Linked DNA regions of Bombyx mori. The protein of the gene in region 1 purifies or fractionates together with the protein of each later gene. This does not show direct contact. Links are inferred from orthologs where the notes say so. Each region holds a gene or a part of one and is shown in the gene's direction. Other genes may lie near its edges. The genes, in order: WD repeat-containing protein 19 and intraflagellar transport protein 122 homolog.

Region 1 (3,829 bases):
AATTGTTCCTTCACGGAGTGTTGCAAAAAAAAATGGTGGCCACGTTTGTCTCCAAAACTGGCCATGTTACGACTATTCCTGTTGAGGGACAAAGAACGGTTAATGCAGAATGGTATGCTAGCATTTGTTTGCCACAGGTCGTTTCTGAACTCCGTAAAGAGAACTGCAACCGCCGCATCATCCTCCATCACGACAATGCGAGTTCTCACACCGCGCACAGAACAAAAGAGTTTTTAGAGCAAGAAAACATAGAATTATTAGACCATCCGCCGTACAGCCCCGACCTAAGCCCTAATGATTTCTATACTTTCCCTAAAATAAAGAATAAATTGCGTGGACAGAGATTTTCATCACCTGAAGAAGCTGTGGACGCTTACAAAACGGCCATTTTGGAGACCCCAACTTCCGAATGGAATGGTTGCTTCAATGATTGGTTCCATCGTATGGAAAAATGTGTCAAATTTCGCGGAGAATACTTCGAAAAGCAATAAATACATTTTTAAATAGTAATGTTGTGTCACTTCGTTAATTCCCGAAATTTTCAGTGCCGCCTAGGTATACTGAGACCTTAGAATTCATATCTCAAGGTGGGTGTTGGCATTACGTTGTAGATTGTCTCTTACGTGGTAGAGTCTATGGATTCCGGTAACCACTTAACACCAGGTGGGCCGTGAGTTCGTCCACCCACCTCAGCAATAATAATAATAAAAAATCCTGATTGATGCAAGTGTTCTCTAATTATAACTATACTTAGACCTTAGAACTCATATCACAACGTGGGTGGCGGCATTTACGTTGTAAACGTCTATGGGTTCCGGTAACCACTTAAAACCAGTTGGACTATGAGCTCGTTCAGCCATCTAAGTAATAAAAAAATAAAAATAAAATAAAATGTTATTCAATGCGCATTTCATTTTTTATTTATGTACACTTAAATCACACAAATAATTTATGGTTAAGTTATAAACTTCCAGACTATGTGCAGATATGGAATGGGACAACGATGGAGATTATCTAGCCATTATTACACCTAATAGTAATGCAGTTTTACTTTGGGAATGCCATGCTAATAAACGGTTGAACATTGAGACGGGCCTGCGTGAACCACCTTCGTGTCTTGCTTGGGCTTACGAAGAACCTTTACTAGCAGTTGGTACACATAAAGGGAATTTAGCCCTTTATAATCATCATACCACAAAGTGAGTAAGAATCATCGCTTTTATTGATTGATGTAGACTTTGAAAATTAATAGCTAATTCCAATTCACAAGCAGCAGTTACTGCTCACGCGGAAAACTTTCCATACCTTCTATTTCTATTGTATGATCTATCTTTTTTATAATCTTAAATCATGCGTTAGGTGAAAGCAGTAAAGATATAATTCATTTTAGAGTTGCTAATCTAACATTTAAATTTTTTTTGCTGTTTCGATGGGAGTACGAGTTCATGGCCCACCTGATACTAAGTTGTCATCCGGGGCCCATACATTAATAAAGTGAATGCCACCACCAACCTTGAGACATGAGTTCTAATCGAAATGCATTACTGCTTCATGACAAAAATAGATAAGTTGGTGGTAGGTACCTGCACGGACTCAGAAGACGTCCAACCACCAGTAATTATTAAATTCTATTCCAGGAGAATTCCAATAATAGGGAAACACAGTAAAAAGATATGTTGTGCTGTATGGAATAAAGACAACATACTTATACTTGCTTCAGAAGATAAGACATTGTCCATAAATAATTCAGATGGAGACACACTCAGGATAATATCACTAAGGGATACTCCTAATGATTTGCAAGTTTCTGAGATGAAGACAGATGAACGAGTTGCAGGGGAAAATACAGTAAGTTTTTGGTGCTATTGTGGTGTTTGAAATCCATGAAAATAAAGAAGAAACAATAAAGCCAAAATCATGAGTTTTGTTTAAAATCAACCTTATCGTATTAAATTTGCTATTGTCTTGTCTTAATCGCGTTTTATTATGTGCATTTTTGTTTTTTTAACATAAACAGTATTTTTTTCTTTCAGGTAAGCCTTATTGTTGGGAAACGCACATTATATCTTTACAATCTTTTGAATCCCGACAACCCAATAGAGTTAGCATTCCAACAACGTTATGGTTCCATAGTTTCGTACAAATGGTATGGCGATGGTTACATTCTTATAGGGTTCAGTGCTGGATTCATCATATCAATATCGACACACATCAAAGAGGTCGGCGAAGAATTGTTTCAGGTCAAGAACCATAAAGATAGTTTGACCGACATAGCGGTGTGTAACGGGCAGGCCGCTTCGTGTGGGGATGGACAGTGCGTATTAATTCATAGTTATATGTGTACAACTGGACCAAGCTAAGTTTGCACCTCGCTGGAATGCGGCGCGCCGCCCGCGTCCCGCGATCGTCCTGTCGCGTCAGTACGGTTAGCATCTTTGTCGCCGACACGCGACATACGAGTTTTCGTCTCCCTATCCGTTGAATTTGAACAGTAAAAAAACAATTTAATTTTTTTTTACTGTTCTTGTTAGGTTTTTTGTTGAAGTTTAGTTATATTATCCGATCCACTAACGGTGCTTTTAGGTACTTCAAGCACCGGTCACCGTTCTCGTCGAACCCGTCGCTTGCGACGAAGGGCTCGACGAGTAAATTAACCCTCAGACACAGCCCACTGAGTTTCTCGCCGGATCTTCTCAGTGGGTCGCGTTTCCGATCCGTTGGTAGATTCTGCGAAGCACGGCTCTTGCTAGGGTTCGTGTTAGCAACGTCGTCAGGTTTGAGCCCCGTGAGCTCACCTGCTAATTAAGGTTACGCTGGAATAGCCTCTCAAGACTACAAGCTTAGGTAGGAAAAAAAAAAAGCAAACTTAGCTTGGTCGAGTTGTACATTCGTAGCATCTCTTGCTGTCAATTTTTTTTAAATTTTTTATTTGTTGCTTAGATGGCTGGACTAGCTCACAGCCCACCTGGTGTTAAGTGGTTACTGGAGCCCATGGATATCTACAATGTAAATGCGCCACCCACCTTGAGATATAAGTTCTTAGACCTCAGTATAGTTACAACGGCTGCCCCACCCTTCAAACCGAAACGCATTACTGCTTCGCGGCAGAAATAAGCAGGGTGGTGGTACCTACCCGTGCGGATTCACAAGAGGTCCTACCACCAGTAATAATGAATGCTTTACTGTTCAGGTTAAAGTTGATCTCAGTTTGGAATAATGGTGAGGTGAGTGGATCGGTGATGCCGACGGGGGGAGCCGAGCGTTGCGGGTGGAGCTCCGACGGAAGGTTACTAGCGACTTCCGGGCGAGGGTACCTGAACGTTTACGTGACCACGCTACCCCCCCTGTACGCTACATACGGAACCAGAGCTCTCACTCTGACCAGTCTCACTGAAGTCACGGTTTACCAGTGCATCGGGGTCGAGGATGCCCCCGAACCTATTAATAAATGTAAGTTGATTGGTGAGCTTAATATTAATTTGCTTAACTAAATTGAGTTAATCTTTGGACTATTTTTCTCATTCGTATACGATCCTCCTAATTCTAGGCGATACCTACTAGAGTTTATAGACGATGCTAATGCTACCGAATGAATATTTAGTATTTGAGTTTGGGTCGATTTTGTGCTATTTTATGGTACGTAGTTTAGTATTACTATTTTATATCGACTGGTCTCTATCGTTTTTTTTTTTTTTTTTTTTTTTTTTTTCTTAGATCGGTGGTCGAGCTCACAGCCCATCTGGTGTTAAGTGGTTACTGGAGCCCATAGACATCCACAACGTAAATGCGCCACCCACCTTGATATATGAGTTCTAAGGTCTCAAGTATA
Region 2 (4,281 bases), on another chromosome or scaffold:
CTCGGTATCATTGAAATGACCGCTAGGGGAAATAAGGATGATGGGAAATAAGTTATTTTGTTGGCATCAGCGTTAATTTTACGTCTACTTCTCACGCGCTAAGATTCCACGATAAGAACGATTCTGCCCTCCAGGTACGACGGCGTGCGACTACTACTACATAGGCATGTTGCAGAGCCGTTTCCCTTTACAACTTGTAGACCCGTCCCATGGGCCAGACATCGTCGATGGCTTTCTCGATATTGAGATAAGTGACTGCCGAAACGCTGTTGAATTTTCCCGAACGTTCGTGCCTTACGATCTCTAGTAATCTTATGATTTTTCAAAGTCGTTCAGCTTGTCCCTTGGTATTAGTTTAAAATTTTATTGTTTGCTTGCGCACTATTCTGTTAGTGCCACTATTGGTTAAGAAATAGCACAGGTTGTCATTTCTGTTATAAAATAAGAATATATACCAGGGTTCGCCAAATGGCGGACCACGGTCCGCATCCGGACAGAGCAACTTCCACTACAGGGTATGGAAGTGTCTAGTGCAGAGTTCTGCATAAAATTTGTGTGTGGTGATAAATATTCAGAAAAAAAATAGCTTTGCAACTTCTTACTTTGCTTGGATCAACATATATTGGCGAAATAACATTTTCGTAGATGCACTTCAACAAGAACAAATTTCGATCACGACTTACTGATGAACATCTCCAGGATTTAACGTGAATAACTTGCACCAAATTACTTCAAACTTCAGACAGATAGTCCGCAACAAAAAATAGAATTTTTCTCATGGATATAATAAAATACTTTTATTATTTCCGTTATTACATTTGTTAAGTAAATCTTTTTTCTTTAAAATATTGTACATACCGCGATGTTAATTTCCTAAAACAGACCTCAACCGAAACTAATCGGTAACTTTCATATTGGGTATATATTTCTTAAAAACTTTCAATACTAATGAAATTTTTTCGATTTTCCTAGAAAGTTGTTGGACGTTTAAAGTTGAGGCGATTGGGTTCTGGAGGTGAGGGGCTATTTAAAAACAACTCTGCTTCATGGTTAGTATAATTTATATAGGCAAACACTTTGTGCACTATTACACCATTACAATATTTTATTTTTATAAAACCCTAAGATGTTGCACTGTCCGTGTCTAGATGAGAAGTCATTGTCTTCACTGAAGAGAAGACAATCATCTGTTTTAAATATTTAAATACTTAAGCGTTCCAATATTCGAAAACTGTAACCTTATAAGTGTTAAGTGTTGCCTGCCATTACTTACATATTCAAACTACAACAAAAGTCCATTGAATCCTTAGTAAATCTAACTACTACAAAAAATACGGTGTTGTTTTATTTTAATTAATTTCGCTCCATTTACTAATCATTTATATGAAAATCTTTTGTAACAAATATTTGAAGTAATAACCTATGTTTCCTTTGCCTATCTAGTGTCCTATGGAGACAAAAAAATCTTTTAAATAATAAACAATTTTATGTAATCTAAATACAACTTTGTTTGTATGTACGTATCACTACGGCTACGTACGGTACGGTACATTTATAAAAGTATAAGACTCATTCTATACAGTTTCAAAAAATAAAGTACCTAAACCGAGCTTAAATTAAGTAGAAATTTTGTTTTTAGGATTACAATTTTTTCACATTGTAGTTTACCACCGATAAACAAAAATGAGAACGTTACCAAAATGGGTAAATAAAATTCACGAAGCTGACAAAATTGAGTTTTCTAGGTATGAATCGTGTAACAACTTTGACTTTAAAATAAATAAAAATCATTAATTGATAAACCTAATATAAACAATTAATACACACAAAAACATAATTATTACATTAAAGTTAACATCTTGAACTCAACAGAAGTCGCAATCAACATGATATGACTATACTCATGATTGACTCATGATTTACTCAATAGGCTCGGAAAGCATTATTTGTGAACGAGTTTTACAGTTGGAATTAATTATTTCAGTGTCCACACATTATGCTTCAGTCCAGATGGAAGCCAGCTGGTAGTTGGAGCTGGAGAGAAGGTTATGGTTTATGATCCTAGGGATGGATCTCTTCTACAACTGCTGCAGGCCCATAAAGGGGCAGTTCATGCTGTAGCTTATTGTGGAGATGGCAAGAAATTTGCAAGTGGTAGTGCTGACAGGAATGTTATTATTTGGACATCAAAAATGGAAGGCATATTGAAATATTCGTTAGTTGATTATATTTACTTGGCAGATGAGTAATGTTTAGTTAAGAATTTGCAGTGATTCGGGGTAATGAAATTTCCAGATATTGAAACATGGGATAGTTGTAAATTTTTGTTTCATCTCATTGTAGATAAAAGTGTTCTGAATATTATTCAAGCACAATGTATTTTATTGATCATGATTATTTTTTGTTGCTATATTGTGTCCTTCAAAGAGTTTTTTTTGTTTTTTTTTTCTCTCTTTTAGACACAGTGAAGCAATACAGTGTCTCGCCTACAACCCTGTAACATTTCATTTGGCCTCATGTGCCATTTCTGATTTTGCTTTCTGGTCAATGGACATAAAAGCTGTTCAGAAACATAAAGTTTCTGGGAGAATAACAAGTTGTGCTTGGTCACCAAATGGGCAATATCTGGTAATTGGTTTAGCAAGTGGTGCTGTAACTTTTAGGGATAAAGTAAGTAATCTATTTGTTCACTATTTTGATTTTATTAAAGTCTATAAAATATGTTGAATTAAGCACACTTACCTTGTATTTAAATTTACTTCTGAAAAATATAGCTCTTAATAATTCTTCCTATAATTTTTTTTTTTAAATTACTTCATTGAAATATGCATTGTAGCAATTACTCAATGATTTTTAGTACAACTGGTAGCTGTTGAGATTTCTAACTGTAGATTCAATGTACTATTGTCCTAGTTTCTTAGTGTTTTTAATAGCTTTTATAATTTTATGTGTTTTATTTTTGCTAAACCAATATTTTTTTTAGGTAGGCAATGAAATACAACGAATTCTGAGAGAAGCTGCAGTTTGGGCGGTTGCCTTCTCAAAAATGACTTTACTTGTCACTGATTGGAATGAAACACTTTCTTTTTATACAATACAGGGTCAGCAAACACTAAAAGAAAGAAATATTGGTAATATGCATATTTACACCTCAAAATGTCATTAATATAAAATGAAATTAAAAAAGGATCCCGACCATCAGGCAATCCTCAGCTATGCCCTTGTCATTACTTTTACCCATTGGTTTTATGACTCGTATCAATGATTCATATGTGATCTGGCTTAAGAATGAAAATTAACTATTGTATTTAAAACAATAAAAATGGTAAACAAACTAGTTTAATCAATAGAAATAGAAATTGTAATTTTTTATAGACTTCATCAGATGCCACATTTAAACTAGTACCGTAGATTGGGGGGAATAGGAACTAGGGGTAGAATCAGGGATGTCTTAAACTAGGATGGGGCCCTTGGGCACACAAGAATTTGAGGCCCTTTTGGAAAGTAAAAAAAGCGAATTATAATAACATTTTTTTACTGAGTATGACCATTTATTATAGGTAATCAAATACAGTATGATATAATATGTTATTAATGATATTAGAATGCTGCTGGTTTTTTGGTTACAATTTCGATAACGGTTTCTTTCGGGATTTCTGTTGAGCAAAATCTTCTATTATAGTGATTTGTGAAAAAAGTGTAATGTGCCCGAAAAAATGTTTTGAGAATAAACGTGTGAGAGAAACTGTCGGTCTTTCGGGGCCCCCTGAGAATGGGGGCCCTGGGCACGGGCCCCGTGTGCCCTTATGGTAAAGACGGTATTGGGTAGAATAGGGACAAATCTGGGTTGTCACAATGCCTTTTTGAGATTTAAATTTGTTGAATTGAAAATAACTTTTATTTAGTGCTTAAGAATATTACATAGCTTAATTTGGTCATAGTCATTTGTAACTGATTATAGATATTGAAAAGTTAAATACCTAAAGGTAAGAATCTATCTAACAACTAAACAGTACCAGCCCTATCGAAAACTCTATTGTCCCCATACATGCCCTGATTCACCCCAAAAGCCGAGGTGGATCAGGTCAAGCTAGTTTTTTAAGTTTAATGTATATTTTTTAATGAACTATGTTAATGTATTTTATATGAAAATTTTAACCTCCGCAACCATTTTAATTTCAATTTTATTGGGATTAATTACCCTAAGATAAACGCTCTGAAAATTTGTGTTGGAATTGAAAAGCGTCCCTATTCCCCCCAATCTATTGTAGACACAATAAT

The links.
Region 2: the proteins of WD repeat-containing protein 19 (region 1) and intraflagellar transport protein 122 homolog purify together in Homo sapiens (affinity purification with mass spectrometry; 4 studies listed by BioGRID and IntAct, counting the BioPlex papers as one, with this or other methods). This does not show direct contact. The link is inferred for Bombyx mori from reciprocal best matches to the Homo sapiens genes WDR19 and IFT122.

The regions. Positions count from the first base shown.
Region 1 is NC_085119.1:3,216,618-3,220,446, reverse strand, and holds part of WD repeat-containing protein 19, read left to right. Parts: intron 1-974; coding exon 975-1,199; intron 1,200-1,637; coding exon 1,638-1,848; intron 1,849-2,033; coding exon 2,034-2,314; intron 2,315-3,190; coding exon 3,191-3,450; intron 3,451-3,829. UniProt on the Homo sapiens protein: As component of the IFT complex A (IFT-A), a complex required for retrograde ciliary transport and entry into cilia of G protein-coupled receptors (GPCRs), it is involved in cilia function and/or assembly.
Region 2 is NC_085107.1:13,135,159-13,139,439, reverse strand, and holds the start of intraflagellar transport protein 122 homolog, read left to right. Parts: upstream 1-1,457; 5' UTR 1,458-1,541; intron 1,542-1,639; 5' UTR 1,640-1,683; coding exon 1,684-1,745; intron 1,746-1,984; coding exon 1,985-2,215; intron 2,216-2,459; coding exon 2,460-2,670; intron 2,671-2,983; coding exon 2,984-3,131; intron 3,132-4,281. UniProt on the Homo sapiens protein: As a component of the IFT complex A (IFT-A), a complex required for retrograde ciliary transport and entry into cilia of G protein-coupled receptors (GPCRs), it is required in ciliogenesis and ciliary protein trafficking.